2 linked regions of the Stegostoma tigrinum genome follow. The protein of the gene in region 1 purifies or fractionates together with the protein of each later gene. This does not show direct contact. Links are inferred from orthologs where the notes say so. Each region holds a gene or a part of one and is shown in the gene's direction. Other genes may lie near its edges.

Region 1 (7,203 bases):
AGGTTCCTGTTGGCAGACTTGTTCGCAAGGCGAGATCACATGGAATACCAATGACATGAAAAATTGGTAGAGTAGAGTAGCATAACAACAAAGAAGGTTACATCAGAGTACAATGGGACCTTGATCAGATGGGCCAATGGAGTTTAATTCAGATAAATATATGTTGTTACGTTTTGAAAAGGCAAATCAAGGCAGGACTAATACACTTAATGATGACGTCCTGGGGAATGTTGCTGAACAAACAGACCTTGGAATGCAGGTTCATCATTCCTTGAAAGGAGATTCAAAGGTAAACAGGATATTGAAGGTTTTGGTATGCTTGCCTTTATTGGTCAATTCATTGAGTATAGGGGTTGGGAGGTCATGTGTGGCTATACAGGACACTGGTTAAGCCACTTTTGGAATACTGCGTGCTATTCTGGTCTCCCTGGTATAGGAAGGATGTTGTGAAACTTGGAAGGATTCAGAAAAGATTTACAAGGATGTTGCCAGGGTTGGAGGGTTTGAGCTATAGGGAGAGGCTGAATAGGCTGGGGCTATCTTCCCCTGGAGTATTGGACGCTGAGAGGTGACCTTATAGCAGTTTATAAAATTACAAGGGGCATGAATAGGGTGAACAGTCAAGGTCTTTTCCCCAGTGTGGGGAAGTCCAAAACTAGAGGGCATAGGTTTAAGGTGAGAAGCGAAAGATTTAGAAGTGACACAAGAGGCAACATTTTCTTACAGAGAGTGGTTTGTGTATGAAATGAGCTGCCAGAGAAAGTGGTGGAGGCTGGTATAATTACAACATTTAAATGTAATCAGGATGAGGACATGGATAGGAAGGGTTTAGAGGGATATGGACCAAATGCTAGCAAATGGGACTAGATTAATTTAGGATACCTGGTCGGCATGGATGAGTGGACTGAAGGGTCTGTTTCCACGTTGTGCAGCTCTGAGTCTACAAGTAGGCCATTCAGCCTTTCGATGCCACTTCTTCATTCTACATGGCCATTGCTGATTATCCAATTCAGTGCCCTCATCCCACCTTCTCCCCATATCCTTTGATCCCTTTAGCCTGAAAAACAATCTCTAACTCCTTGAAAACACCTCAGTCCTAAATGGCCTACCTCTTGTCTTTAGACTATAACCTCTGGTCTTGGACTCCCTGGTCATCAGAACGCCCTTTCTGCATTTCCCCTATCTAATCTTGTCTGAATGGCCTTCAGCTTTTCAAAAGCTGTTTCAAAAGCTGACAACTGCGCTGAAACTTGAGATAAACTTTCGGTAAAAATCACATATTCCAAGAACCTCATAAGTTCCCATTTTGTTGTGGGAATCTGAAACTGCACTACTGCTTGTGTTATGACATAGAGATAGGTAGCTGAATCGAATCCACCTTTGTATTCACAACACAGTAACATTAAACCATCTAAATCACTCTGCTGGTTCACAACCAGGTTTTTGAACAAGCAATTCCAAACTTTGAAATTAATTAATTTTCTCAACACCAGTTCTGTAATTTAAACAAAAGATTTAACATTTTATTGAAAACAAAATTTATATTAGAAAAGAGAAAATAAAACATGGTGTGGTTATCAATATTAGTGCTTTAAACCCAAAACATTTGTTTCCAGCCCCCATTCACATGAACAATGGATAACAAACACAGTTAAGGGATAAATAAGCTAAAAAAAAGTGGCCAGATTACTCAATTGACTCATGATGCATTATCTCACAGGCATAAATGTGACTCTTTAGCTGTTTTTCTGAAACATCGATCAGGGTCATTTTCTCAGTTCACTCAGGCAAAAGCCACAATAATTCCAACTCAGCTTTCTACTCTTTAGGCAGGGAGCTTTCAAATCTTCACACTGTCTCAGCAGCATCCCTGGACCATCTCCCAGAAAACAGAGCTAAACAGAACACTGATTCTGGTTCTACCCTGATACTCTGAATGACTCCTCTTGAGGCCTCAATTACCATTAAACAACTGCCAATCTGCTTGAACATAGGCTTTCTTTCAGACTTGCCAGAACCAATTCCCAAGTACTGATCTCGTCGATAGCCAATTTCAGCTATCTGTGTAAACAAATGCTCTTTCTAGGGTTTGCTGCATCTGTTAGAACCTTTTTGAATCAAGTTTCAGCCTACAATTAGCCTCTTGGCCGGGCCTGTTTTCATAAACAAACAAAGCTTGTTTAGAGTCATAAAGTCATTGTGATGTACAACATGGAAACAGACACTTCGGTCCAACTCATTCATACCACCAGAGAACCTAAATAAATTAAGTCCCATTTGCCAGCACATGTACGCATGCAGAAACCTTTTAAATGTTATAATTCTAAGGCCCCTACAGCTCAGTCCATACCTGTGTCATCCTCTGAATGAAAAAAAATGCCTCTCAAGTCCCTTTTGAGTCTTTCCGCTCTCACCTTAAACCTATGCTGCCTAGTTTTGGGGTCCCCTAAGATGGGTGAAAGACCTTGGCTATTCGCTCTATCCTCGACCCTCATAGTCATTGCATTATCTTTTTGGTATTTAATGCAGATCCTCATGGAGCTATTTGGCTTGGCCGCAAGTACAACTGCAGGCCTTGTCTGGCTGTTACTAGATACTATCAGTTGGTGCTCCACCAGTCAAGCAAGAAACAAGAACAGGCCACTCAGCCCTTTGAGTCTACTCCAGCCTTCAATAAGATCGTCATTCATGTGATTTTAACTTCAAGTTTATATTCCTGCATATGATTTTTCATCTTCTTGGTAATCAAGAATCTATCACCTTTGTCTTAAAAATAGTTGCAAGATTCTGCCTCCACTGTCTTTTGAGGAATGGAATTCCAAACACTCCAAGAGAAATGTGTTCCTCTGTCTTAAATAAATGAACCCCTACTTTTAACCTATGACCCCTAGTTTTACATTTTCCCACAAGAGGAAACATCCTATACACATCTACCTGATCGAGTTCCTTCAGGATCTTAAATGTTTCTATTAAGTCATTTCTGACTCTTCTAAATGCCTGCCGAGCCTTCCTCATAAGGCAATCCCCTCATTCCCGGTATTAATCTAGTGAATGCCCTCTGAACTGCTTTCATCACATTGACATCCTTTTGCTGGTACCATGACTAGTGACGCAGTCTCATCAATGCCTTGTAAAATTGAAGTATAACCTCCCTATTCTTGCTTTCAATTACCCTCACATTACAACATTACATTCTGTTATGTTTCCAAATTACTTGCTGTACCTGCATACTAACCTTCATGCATCAGGATACTCAGAGTCTCTTAACATCTCAGAGCTCTGTAAAATCTTACCATTTAGAAAATATGCTTTTTATTTTTTTCCCCCACTTTGCCACATTACATCTTATTTGCCGGACCTTAGACCACTCACTTACCCCACCTAATTAGTTTTGTAGGCTGTTTATGTCCTCTTAACACACTTTCCTACCTACTTTCTGTCATCAGCAAAATTAGCTACACGTCCCTTTGTCCAAACTTTAATTTAAATATTCTATTCCTAGACATACTCAGATATTAGCAAATAGTTATAGACAACATCAAACTGGATTCTATTAGAGTTGATATTGTGCTTTTCAATCGTTTATAATTAGAAAAAAAACTGCCAAAGTTTAAACACATTTCCCCAGATTCGCTGAGCAACTTTCCAACTTGTTTCACTGTCTCAGTCAAGGGAATTAATACCTCAGCTGCTTGTGGTGAAGGTGTTTTCCCATCCAACCACTCGGCTACGTTATTACACACACATTTGCAACAGGTGGGGCATTAACACGGGTCTCCTGTCTCCGATGCAGGGACACTACCGGCAGCTCCAGCCGAGCTCGGACCGTTCCTGCCGCGGGGCAGCTCCGAGCGCGTCCACGCTGCCGCACGCGCGGCGCCGGCCCGTTGCCGCGGCAACGCCGTCCGCTGACGTCGGCGCGGCCACGAACTTTCTGGAAAGCGGCGGGCGATGTCTCGCGCGGCTCGGCTGTGTTGACGCGAGATCTGCTGAGGGCAGGGGGCTGGCTCGGTGTGTGCCTGTGCTGGGGGGGGCAAGGGGGCAAGTCCGGGGTTTAGAGAGAGGGAGGGAGGGAGGAGGGGGGTTGAGGGTTTATTTTAAAACTAAGAGAAAAGCTGGGGACTCCGGCAGCGATGGCGGCGGAGAGACCGATCCCTCAGCTGATGGAAAGCTTCAAACCAGCCGGTGCCGGCGACACCTCGACTGGCAACGGGGCTGGTAAGCGCCGCCCAGCCATGAGCACCGTGCATTATGGGGGAGGGGGGAGGCAGCGTCGTGCATTCGGTTAAAAGGGGGGAGGGGGGTAAATAGCAAAGATTCCTCGCTGTGGCCGAGAGCTTCGTGCATCGGTACCTCCCCGTACACAGCATGATTCTCCCCACCCCCTCGCCCCCCCCTCCCCCCACCCCCCTCGCCCCCCCCTCCCCCCACCCCCTCGCCCCCCCCCCACCCCCTCGCCCCCCCCCCTCCCCTCGCCCCCCCTCCCCTCGCCCCCCCCCCTCCCCTCGCCCCCCCCTCCCCCCTCGCCCCCCCCTCCCCCCTCCCCCCCCCCCTCCCCCCTCCCCCCCCTCCCCTCGCCCCCCCCTCCCCTCGCCCCCCACTCCCCCCTCCCCTCGCCTCGCCCTCCCCTCGCCCCCCCGCCCCTCGCCCCCTCGCCCCCCCGCCCCTCCCCTCGCCCCCTCCCCTCGCCCCCCTCCCCTCGCCCCCCTCCCCTCGCCCCCCTCCCCTCGCCCCCCCTCCCCTCGCCCCCCCCTCCCCCCCTCCCCCCTCCCCTCCCCCCCTCCCCCCCCCTCGCCCCCTCTCTCCCCCCCTCTCCCCTCTCCCCCCCCTCGCCCTACCCCCCCCTCGCCCTCCCCCCCCTCGCCCTCCCCCCCCTCGCCCTCCCCCCCCCCTCGCCCTCCCCCCCCCCTCGCCCTCCCCCCCTCGCCCTCCCCCCCTCCCCCTCCCCCCCTCCCCCCCCTCGCCCTCCCCCCCCTCCCTCTCCCCCCCCTCCCTCCCCCCCCCTCCCTCTCCCCCCCCTCCCTCTCCCCCCCTCCCTCTCCCCCCCTCCCTCTCCCCCCCTCCCTCTCCCCCCCTCCCTCTCCCCCCCCTCCCTCTCCCCCCCCTCCCTCTCCCCCCCCCTCCCTCTCCCCCCCCCCCCTCTCCCCCCCCCCTCTCCCCCCCCCCCTCTCCCCTCTCCCTCTTCCCCTCTCCCCCTCTCCCTCTCCCCCTCTCCCCCTTCTCCCTCTCCCCCCCTCCCTCTCCCCCCCTCCCTCTCCCCCCCTCCCTCTCCCCCCCTCCCTCTCCCCCCCTCCCTCTCCCCCCCTCCCTCTCCCCCCTCCCTCTCCCCCCTCCCTCTCCCCCCCTCCCTCTCCCCCCTCCCTCTCCCCCCTCCCTCTCCCCCCCTCCCTCTTCCCCCTCTCCCTCTTCCCCCTCTCCCCCCTCCCTCTTCCCCCTCTCCCCCCTCCCTCTTCCCCCTCTCCCCCCCTCCCTCTTCCCCCTCTCCCCCCCTCCCTCTTCCCCCTCTCCCCCCCTCCCTCTTCCCCCTCTCCCCCCCTCCCTCTTCCCCCTCTCCCCCCCTCCCTCTTCCCCCTCTCCCCCCCTCCCTCTTCCCCCTCTCCCCCCCCCCTCCCCCCCCTTCCCCCTCCCCCCCTTCCCCCTCCCCCCCTTCCCCCTCCCCCCCTTCCCCCTCCCCCCCTTCCCCCTCCCCCCCTTCCCCCTCCCCCCGTTCCCCCTCCCCCCCTTCCCCCTCCCCCCCTTCCCCCCCTTCCCCCTCCCCCCCTTCCCCCCCTTCCCCCTCCCCCCGTTCCCCCCCTTCCCCCTCCCCCCCTTCCCCCTCCCCCCCTTCCCCCTCCCCCCCTTCCCCCTCCCCCCCTTCCCCCTCCCCCCCTTCCCCCCCTTCCCCCTCCCCCCCTTCCCCCTCCCCCCCTTCCCCCTTCCCCCTCCCCCCCTTCCCCCTCCCCCCCTTCCCCCTCCCCCCCTTCCCCCTCCCCCCCTTCCCCCTCCCCCCCTTCCCCCTCCCCCCCGTCCCCCCCCCCGTCGTCCCCCCCCCGTCGTCCCCCCCCCGTCGTCCCCCCCCCCCCGTCGTCCCCCCCCCCGTCGTCCCCCCCCCCCCGTCGTCCCCCCCCCCGTCGTCCCCCCCCCCCGTCGTCCCCCCCCCCGTCGTCCCCCCCCCCCGTCGTCCCCCCCCCCCGTCGTCCCCCCCCCCCGTCGTCGTCCCCCCCCCCCGTCGTCCCCCCCCCCCGTCGTCCCCCCCCCCCCGTCGTCCCCCCCCCCCCGTCGTCCCCCCCCCCCCGTCGTCCCCCCCCCCCCCCCCCCCCCCGTCGTCCCCCCCCCCGTCGTCGTCCCCCCCCCCCCGTCGTCGTCCCCCCCCCGTCCCCCCCCCCCCCGTCGTCCCCCCCCCCCCCGTCGTCCCCCCCCCCCGTCGTCCCCCCCCCGTCGTCCCCCCTCCCCCTCCCGCCCCCCCCCTCCCCCTCGTCGTCCCGCCCTCCCGCCCCCCCTCCCCCCCGCCCCCCCTCCCCCTCGTCCCCCCCTCCCCCTCGTCCCCCCCCTCCCCCTCGTCCCCCCCTCCCCCTCGTCCCCCCCTCCCCCTCGTCCCCCCCTCCCCCTCGTCCCCCCCTCCCCCCCCTCTCCCCCCCTCTCCCCCCCTCCCCCCCCCTCTCCCCCCCCCCTCGTCCCCCCCCTCCCTGTCCCCCCCTCCCCCTCGTCCCCCCCCTCCCCCTCGTCCCCCCCCTCCCCCTCGTCCCCCCCTCCCCCTCGTCCCCCCCTCCCCCTCGTCCCCCCCCTCCCCCTCGTCCCCCCCCTCCCCCTCGTCCCCCCCCTCCCCCTCGTCCCCCCCCTCCCCCTCGTCCCCCCCCTCCCCCTCGTCCCCCCCCTCCCCCTCGTCCCCCCCCTCCCCCTCGTCCCCCCCCTCCCCCTCGTCCCCCCCCTCCCCCTCGCCTCTCCCCCTCTCCCCCTCTCCCCTTCCTGCCTCCCTCTTCGCTTGCATCGAGCACCTTCCTCTGTTTCTATAAAGAGAAACACACATAAAACTGCGATTGCTGCTGCAAATAATTCAGCAAACACCACCCCCCTCCGCCGACCCCTGCAACTAACATTGAGGTCAGTCGCTTTTTGTTCAGGCAGCTGCAGAACCAGGGGGACATGTAAAACAAACAGAAACAAAATGCCTCGTGCAGGCCAGGTAGTTCTCATGTTTCAGGTCGATGGCCTTGCTTCAGTTCA
Region 2 (7,805 bases), on another chromosome or scaffold:
GCATCTGACCCTTATCCCTTTAGGCCCTTCCTATTCATGTACCTGTCCAGATACAGTTACAATATTTAAAAGATATCAGCCTCCACCATTGGGAGCAATGGCCTAGCGGTATTATTGCTGCAATGTTAACCCAGAGACCCAGATAACATTCTGCGGACCTGGGTTCAAATCCTGCCATGGTAGATGGTGGAATTTCTATTCAATAAATATTTGGGATTAAGAATCTAATGATAAGCATGAAACCAAATGTTGATTGTTGGGAGAAAAACCCATTGGGTTCACTCATGTCCTTTAGGGAAGGAAACAGCCATCCTTACCTGGTCTGGCCTACATGTGACTCCAGCCCCACAGCAACGTTGCTGACTCTTAACTGTCCTCTGGACAATTAGGAATGAGCAATAAATGCTGCCTGGCCAATGACACCCTCATCCTGTGAATGAATAAAAAAAAACCTTTCCACTGGCAATCCATTCCAAACACACTCCACCCTCTGTGTGTTAAAGTTGCCCCTTACATCCCTTTTAAATCTTTCCCTTCTCACCTTAAACCCAGCCCGTCTAGTTTTGGAATCCCTGCCGTAAGAAAAAGACATTGGTTAGTCAGCCTATCCACACCCCTCATGATTTTATAAACCTCGATAAGAGCCGTCTCAGCCTCCGCTACCCCAGGACCATTGACTCCTGTAAGAATTTTGGATGCTTCACAATCCTGGTGTCCTTTTTGACCAGCCAAAGAATTACTTCCATATTATAATGTCCCTTAACATCCCCATGCTTCAGCCCATGAAACCTTCATCCATAGGTCAGTTACCTCCAGATGGATATTGCAATACCCTGGCTGACCTCCTATGATTGTAAACTTCAGCTCACCTACCCGTGTCCGATCTCACACCAAGTAAAATTGACCTTCTATCCTGACCTAACAAACCTGTTTTATTTAAATAATGAATTGAGTTTAAAACTGCTATCCTTAGTTTCAATTCTGTCAATAGCTTCTGCGTTCCCTATTTCTGAATCTCAACATTTTTAATTGTCACTCCTGAACTTAAAAGAGATCTTTGGGGAGAGAAATCCAGATTTTCACTCCTCTTCATGTGAAAACGAGTTTCCTGACATTGCATCTGAAGGACCTGGCTCAAATTTTAAGATTATGCTCCTTCAGTCTGAGTTAACATTTTAGGTTCAGTAACCCTTTCTGCACAACATTCTGAAGAAAGGTCACTGGCGCCAAAACATTAGCTCTACTTTCTCACCACAGATGCTGCCAGACCTGCTGTGTTTTTCCAGCTTCTGTTGTTAAGGTGATCCTTATTTCTCTTCTGGTCAGCACACTGCTTCAGTCATCTTTCTCTAGATGCTTCCACTGGGTAGTAAGAGGCACAAAAGTGGTTGGTTCACTCAAAGTATTTGACTTTTCAGTTAAATCTCACATCTTACAACAACTATTGAATAAAAACCGAAAGAGCTGCGGACGCTGTAAGTCAGGAACAAAAACAGAGTTGCTGGTAAAGCTCAGTATATCTGGCAGCATCTGTGAAGAAAAATGTCAGAGTTAATGTTTAGGGTCTAATTACCCTTTCTCAGAACTGATGGGAGCTGGGAAAATGTCAGTGTATATGCAGGAAATAGGGACGGGGTGGGGTATAGAGAAAACAATAGGATAGAGCTGAAAGAGAGAGATGAACAGTTGGACAGATAAAGGAGTTGATAATGATCTGGTTAGGAGGGTCAATAGTTGTTAATGGGGACTGTTAGTGACAAACAACAGGCTGTGTGTAATGGCAGGCTATGTGATAACAGGGCCTGATGTGTGAGGTAGGGGGCAGGGACATGGGAGAGTTTAGACCCTGAAATTATTGAACTCGATATTGAGTTAGGAGGGCTGCAGGGTCCCCAAGCGGAAAATGAGGCGTTGTTCTTCCAGCTTGCGCTGAGCTTTGCTGAAACACTGTAGGAAACAACTATTGAAGGTCATGTTCTTCACGTTTACAGGGAGTTTTAACTGCAAAGAAAATAACAAGCTACTCCTCCCAGCTGGGGAAAAACTGAACACTTCTCTCTTTCTGTAACTTATTCCCAGTTCTAAGTTGTTACCTGTTAGCAGCAAAAATGCCTCTGTCATCAATAACAGTTTACTAGTCCATAGATTAACCAAATTCTTGTTGCCAAAAGTTGCATCAGCACTGTCCTCAGCCTCAAATCATTGAATCTGATAAAAGAGAATCCCTACTGCATGTAAGCAACCTATTTGGCCTATCAGGTCCACACTAGCATTCTGAAGAGCATCCCACCCAGGGGCACCCAGCCCCATCCTTGTAACCTGCATTTCCTATTAGCCTTAAATCCCTGGACACTATGGGCAATTTAGCAGTTTAGTTTCAACCTGCACATCTTTGGATTGTGGGAGGAAACCCTTCAGAGATTGTGCAAACTACAAGGCAGCCACCTGAGGGTGGAATTGAACCCAGATCCCTCGCATTATAAGGCAGCAGTGCTAACCACTGAACTATCATGCTGCTCTCCCAAACTTCAATTACTGCTTGTTCAACAGTTATTTACACAATGCCTACAATAGTTATTTATTTTCAAAATATACTACCCTTTCAAACATTAATTTTAAAACAACTGTCATTTCAGTCCACAGTATTTTAAAAACAAACACAAAATTTTAAAAAAAGTGATATTGACAGTGAATACTAGTTGTAATTCACAGTATATTTTGATTGCAATCAGTCTTTTACTAAATTTGACTTCTACTGGGATCCTTCCCTTTCCTCAGTTACTCCTCTGTCATGTGATTGATGTATTTGTTGGTCTCTCCCTGCACAGATATTTTTGGAAACTATTGTTCACATGAACAATTTTAGCAAGTATGGTCAGTAGCTATCATTAGTGTGAATTCCTCGTGTGAGGCTGATTTCTTCTCATACTTGCTCCTTCTAATACCTGAAACAGAATACAAATAATGAAACTATCATAAAGTGTTGAAAGATAACCTATGTGAGTTGCTAATGTCCTTTAGGTCTGGCCCATATAAAATTTCGAAATTGCAGCAATGCGGTTGATTCTTTACTGCACTCTGAAATGGTCTAACAGACCATTCAGTTTAAAGGCATTTAGAGATGGACAACTAATACTTGCCTTGCCAGTGACTCCCACTTCTTTTGGAAGAATAATACAAATTTGGGTACATGCTGGCTGTTCAGTTAACTATTGGAATGATGCATGTCTGTTGTACTTGCCTTGTTTTATAAAGATCTATCAGACTTAGACTTGGAGATAGCAAGAACTGCAGATGCTGAAGGCAGAGAAAACACATTGTGAAGCTAGGGGAACACAGCAGGTCAGGTAGTATCAGAGGAGTAGGAAAATTGATTTTTCGGGTCAGGGCCCTTCTTCAGAACTCTTAAAGGGGTTCCAACCCAAAACATCAACTTTCTGATGTTGCCTGACCTGCTGTGTTCCTCCAGTTCCACATTGTGTTGTCTCAGATTTACACTTGACAGGACTTGAACCCTTCAGGACTCAAGAGCCATGTAAGTCATCTTAGTACAAAAGTAAAATATTGCAGATGTTGGAAAACTGAATTAAAAATTGTCAAATGTTGGCTAGGCAGCATCAGTGGTGCAAAAGATGCTGGCTGCCCTGAATAAAAGCATGCTGTTAATTCCACTAATATTCAGGAGAATGGTTTCAGCATTTTAGTTCCAATTCCTGTCAGTAAGAAATCACTGCAAGTACTTGGACTGAAAAATGACCTGATCTATACTAAACTGGAGAGTTAGATGAGCTGAAAGCATGATTGAGTATGCACCCACAATGCCTTGAGGCAGTGCATCCAAATCCTAACCATTTTCTACACAAAAAGGGGTTTCACTTTTTTGTTGCTTTTCTGCCGATCATCTTGTCTTGGTATTCTCTGGATCTCGACCTTTGTACGAGTTTCAAGTCTCTATCTACCTTGACTAGTTCCCCTCGTTATTTGTGAACACTTTTATCTAATCTCTCAACCTTCCCTAGGATGGGAAGTACTTTTTGAAGTGTAGGTTTTCTCCTGCTGTTCTGTTCTTCCTGCCAAAGGGACGAGTTCACATTTTCACGCATTAGACTCCATCTGCCAAAGGGAGGTAGTTGCTCTGAGATCTTTCACATCTGCAAGATGTGTCAGCTCTGATAGTGCTGGATGTGGACTGTCAACCTCGATACAGTGGGCCTCCTAACGTGTCAAAAGTCGCCTTTAGAAAGCAGATTTTGGATTTTATATAAAATCTGCGAAGACTGCATCAGTTATGGGCTCAAGACTCTGGATTGGGTCTTGAACCTATCAATTCTCCTGTTTCCGACGCAACATAATAGCCACAGAAAAAATTATTTTTAATAAACTTCACAACAAGACGTCGACGGGATCCATAAACTGCCGGCTGCTGTCACCCAAATAACATCCAGCGCCATACTGCAAGCAGTGTCCGTTTTTTTTGGGGGGGGGAGGCATAGAGTGGCGGACCGGCGGAAGTGTGTCCGTGGGGGGAGGTATTGAGTGGCGGACCGGCGGAAGTGTGTCCGTGGGGGGAGGTATTGAGTGGCGGACCGGCGGAAGTGTGTCCGTGGGGGGAGGTATTGAGCGCCGGGCCGCCATGGAGGTCGCTCCTGGTCCAAGGAGAGCCGGTAAAAATGATGATAAAGATAAAGGTAAATGAAGAATTGGAGGAGGTCAGGTCTGCGGCGGGGTTGGGGAGGATTTCTGAACCAAAAAAAAACATACAAAGAGTTGTGGAAATCTGAAGTAAAAACCAAATTGCTGGAGAATCTGAGGTAACAAGGTGTAGAGCTGGAGGAGCCGAGCAGGAAGGCTGATGGTTCGGGCCTCGACCCACCTTCAGAAACTGAGCTCGAGGAGCTCACCAGGTTTCTGGCAGCATCTGTGGTGAGAGAAACAAAGTTAGTGTTTCGGGCCCAGTGACTCTCCTTCGGAATTTCAGTGATTTCTGTTTTTGTTGGGGATTTCTGAAGCCGGCCTGGCCTTGGGGGAGGCTCCATTTGTGGGTTAGGTTGGGTCCGGGGCGGGGGGGATGCGTAGACCCGGTGGACGAAGATTTTGTGAAGTCTTTGTTGCCGTTTACTTTATCCTGATTCGGAAGTTGATTCCTGAAATGTTCCTGAGCAGAGTCACTCGTTTTAACGAGCTTCTCCATCACTCCGCGACCTAAACTGCTGCCAAACCAGGTTTCCGCTTAAAAATTACCCTCATTTGTCACTATACTTACTGTCCAGATCCTAAAATTTTTGATCTTGTCGTGCTGGCATTGATATTTCTCACCATCACTTTAAATAAGTGCCCTTATTTAAAGGGGACAATTTCTTCAATTTACCCTGCCCAGACTGCTCTTGAATTTGAACACCTTGGTGAAATTTCTCCTCAACTTAACAGCCTAAGCATTTCCAGTCTTTATTCATTATTCTTCATGAGCAGGTACCATTGGTAAGGCCAACGTTTGTTGCACCTCCTTTGAATTGCTTGAAGTAGTATATGAATCAGAACAGGAGTAGGCCATTCAGCTATTCAAACCTATTCTGCCATTTAATGAGATCATAGCTTTCTGATTGAAACCTCATTCACATTCACAGTTACAACTGACAGCCTTTCAATTCCTTGCAGAACAACAAACTCTCTACCTCTATCTTAAAAATAGTCAAGGAATCTGCTTCACTGCCTTTTCAGGAAGAGAGTTCTGGCGAGACATGACCTCTGAGAGGCCAGTTAAGAATCGACCACATTACTCCAAGGCACATGTAGGCCTGATTGGGTAAGGATGTTAGTGAACCAGATGTGTTTTTACAACAATTGATTAGTTCTCTGGTCACCATTACTGAGACCAGCTTATAATTCCAAATATAACTGCCGAAATTTAAATTCCACCAGGTGCCACTTCGGGATTTGGGCCCATGTCACCAGCACACTGGCCTAGGTCTCTGGATCACTAACCCAGCGATTTAACCGTGACATCACCATCTCCACAGCGCCCCCCCCCCCCACCCAGCTGAATTTCTTCATCCATGAAATCATTCTCATTATTTTTTCCAAACCCTTCACTTCTATTCCAGAACGTGATGCTGAGGATAGGCCATTATACTCCAGTTAAAAGGGAACCAGTGTTTTATAGTGGTTTATCAAAAGTCATGCCAGTGTCAAGACTTCCCATGATAGCCTCTAATGAAGAACCTGCCATCAAAACCACCTTGCTTTTATATTCTGTCTCTCTTATGATTGGCCAAATGGCTTCCTTCTGTGCCATAACTATTATGTGATCATTTGTTCAGTGCGTGTTAATTTTGCCCAGGATTATCAGTTCTAAACTCGTTCCCATCACTCACTTTAAACTGACTGGTCTGTTGTCACTAGATTTATCTTTTACATCCTTTTTGAGCAAGGGTGCAACAGTTGCAGTTATCCAGTATACCTCTGAGATACTCCAGTATTTGTTGAGGTTGAGATTATGGCCAATATCACCTCAGTTTTCTCCACTACTTCCATCATCTATGGATGCATCCTCGTGACTTACCACCTTTTCATCCTTTCTTACTGCATCTCTTTGTCAACATCTGTACGTATCCACGATCCTGCTTAACTCCTCTTTCACTATGACTTTACTAACAGCATCTTCCTTGATAAAGACTGATTCAAAGTATTCTTAGCATTCGTGCTTTAATCCTTAATTAGGTTTTACTCTTCTTACACTTTTACTGCTTGTGTACTTATCAGAAACTTCTGGATTCTTTTCTTTTTCGTTAATTACTAGTTTTTACTTTATTCAATCTCTTTGCTGCACTTCTTTTCTCACTTTACATCTAAACTTTCTAAAATTATCCTGATTTTCACTTCTGTTATTAACCTGATAGTTGTTATGTCATTTTCCGATTGTCAATCTTTTGTAAATTGGGGCCTCTCACTTTTTTTGTACTACTGGTTGGCCCTTGTGGTAATGTGCCACTGGACTGTGTTTTTCTCATCTTTAAGGACAACCCATTGCTACATTGAAGTTTTGCATGCAAATCATTAATCCTAGTTTGTCTGATTTGTATCTGTTCTTGACCCACTGAAACTGTCCCTTGTCCAATTCAGTGTTTATATTTTTAATTGCTCCAGTTTGAACATTTTAATACTATGATTGTGGTTCTCCAAAAGTTCCCTAACTGACATTTGCCCCGACTTATTTCCTGAAGAGTACAGTTGAAGAATCGTACAATACAGAAGAAACTCCATAGCCCATTGAGTTTTCCCAAACACATTTCTGAAATTCTCTTCCCACTCTGCCTTTACTGTCCTCATCTACATGAGGATCAATAATATCCCCTATTACAGGGCTTCTTAAATGGGGTTTGGCACCTTGAACAAAATCATGAGTTCAGGTAGCAATGACCTACATCACTGATCTACACTCTCATTGGTCTTCTCCTCCTCCCTCCTTGCCCACCCCCTACAGCCCACTGAGTCAGATGATCATTTTTAAGCCTTGAAATGGGATCACAGTCGGAATTGGCATTGGAAGCAATGCTTCAGTACAATGACTTCATTGTTCATGCACTTCTCTTGCAAGTAAAGTAATTCTCTCAAGACTGTAATTTGCAGCATATCTCCTCCATTCTGATCGTCAGTGGTCTGCACCAGACACCCACTAACATAATCGCAGCTCTACTGTCTCTTCGAGCAACAGCACTTGAGAGAGGGAGTGTGAGAAGAAAACACTCTGAAAGAACATTCCAGCCCTTGCCAATGTTATTGTTTACCACCTCCTGGATAAATGCTGC

What was found.
Region 2: the proteins of zinc finger protein 346-like (region 1) and krr1 purify together in Homo sapiens (affinity purification with mass spectrometry; 3 studies listed by BioGRID and IntAct, with this or other methods). This does not show direct contact. The link is inferred for Stegostoma tigrinum from reciprocal best matches to the Homo sapiens genes ZNF346 and KRR1.

What each region holds. Positions count from the first base shown.
Region 1 is NC_081366.1:78,747,665-78,754,867, forward strand, and holds the start of zinc finger protein 346-like, read left to right. Parts: upstream 1-4,066; 5' UTR 4,067-4,133; coding exon 4,134-4,218; intron 4,219-7,203.
Region 2 is NC_081371.1:47,149,807-47,157,611, reverse strand, and holds the start of krr1 (KRR1 small subunit processome component homolog), read left to right. Parts: upstream 1-4,566; 5' UTR 4,567-4,633; coding exon 4,634-4,688; intron 4,689-7,805. UniProt on the Homo sapiens protein: Part of the small subunit (SSU) processome, first precursor of the small eukaryotic ribosomal subunit.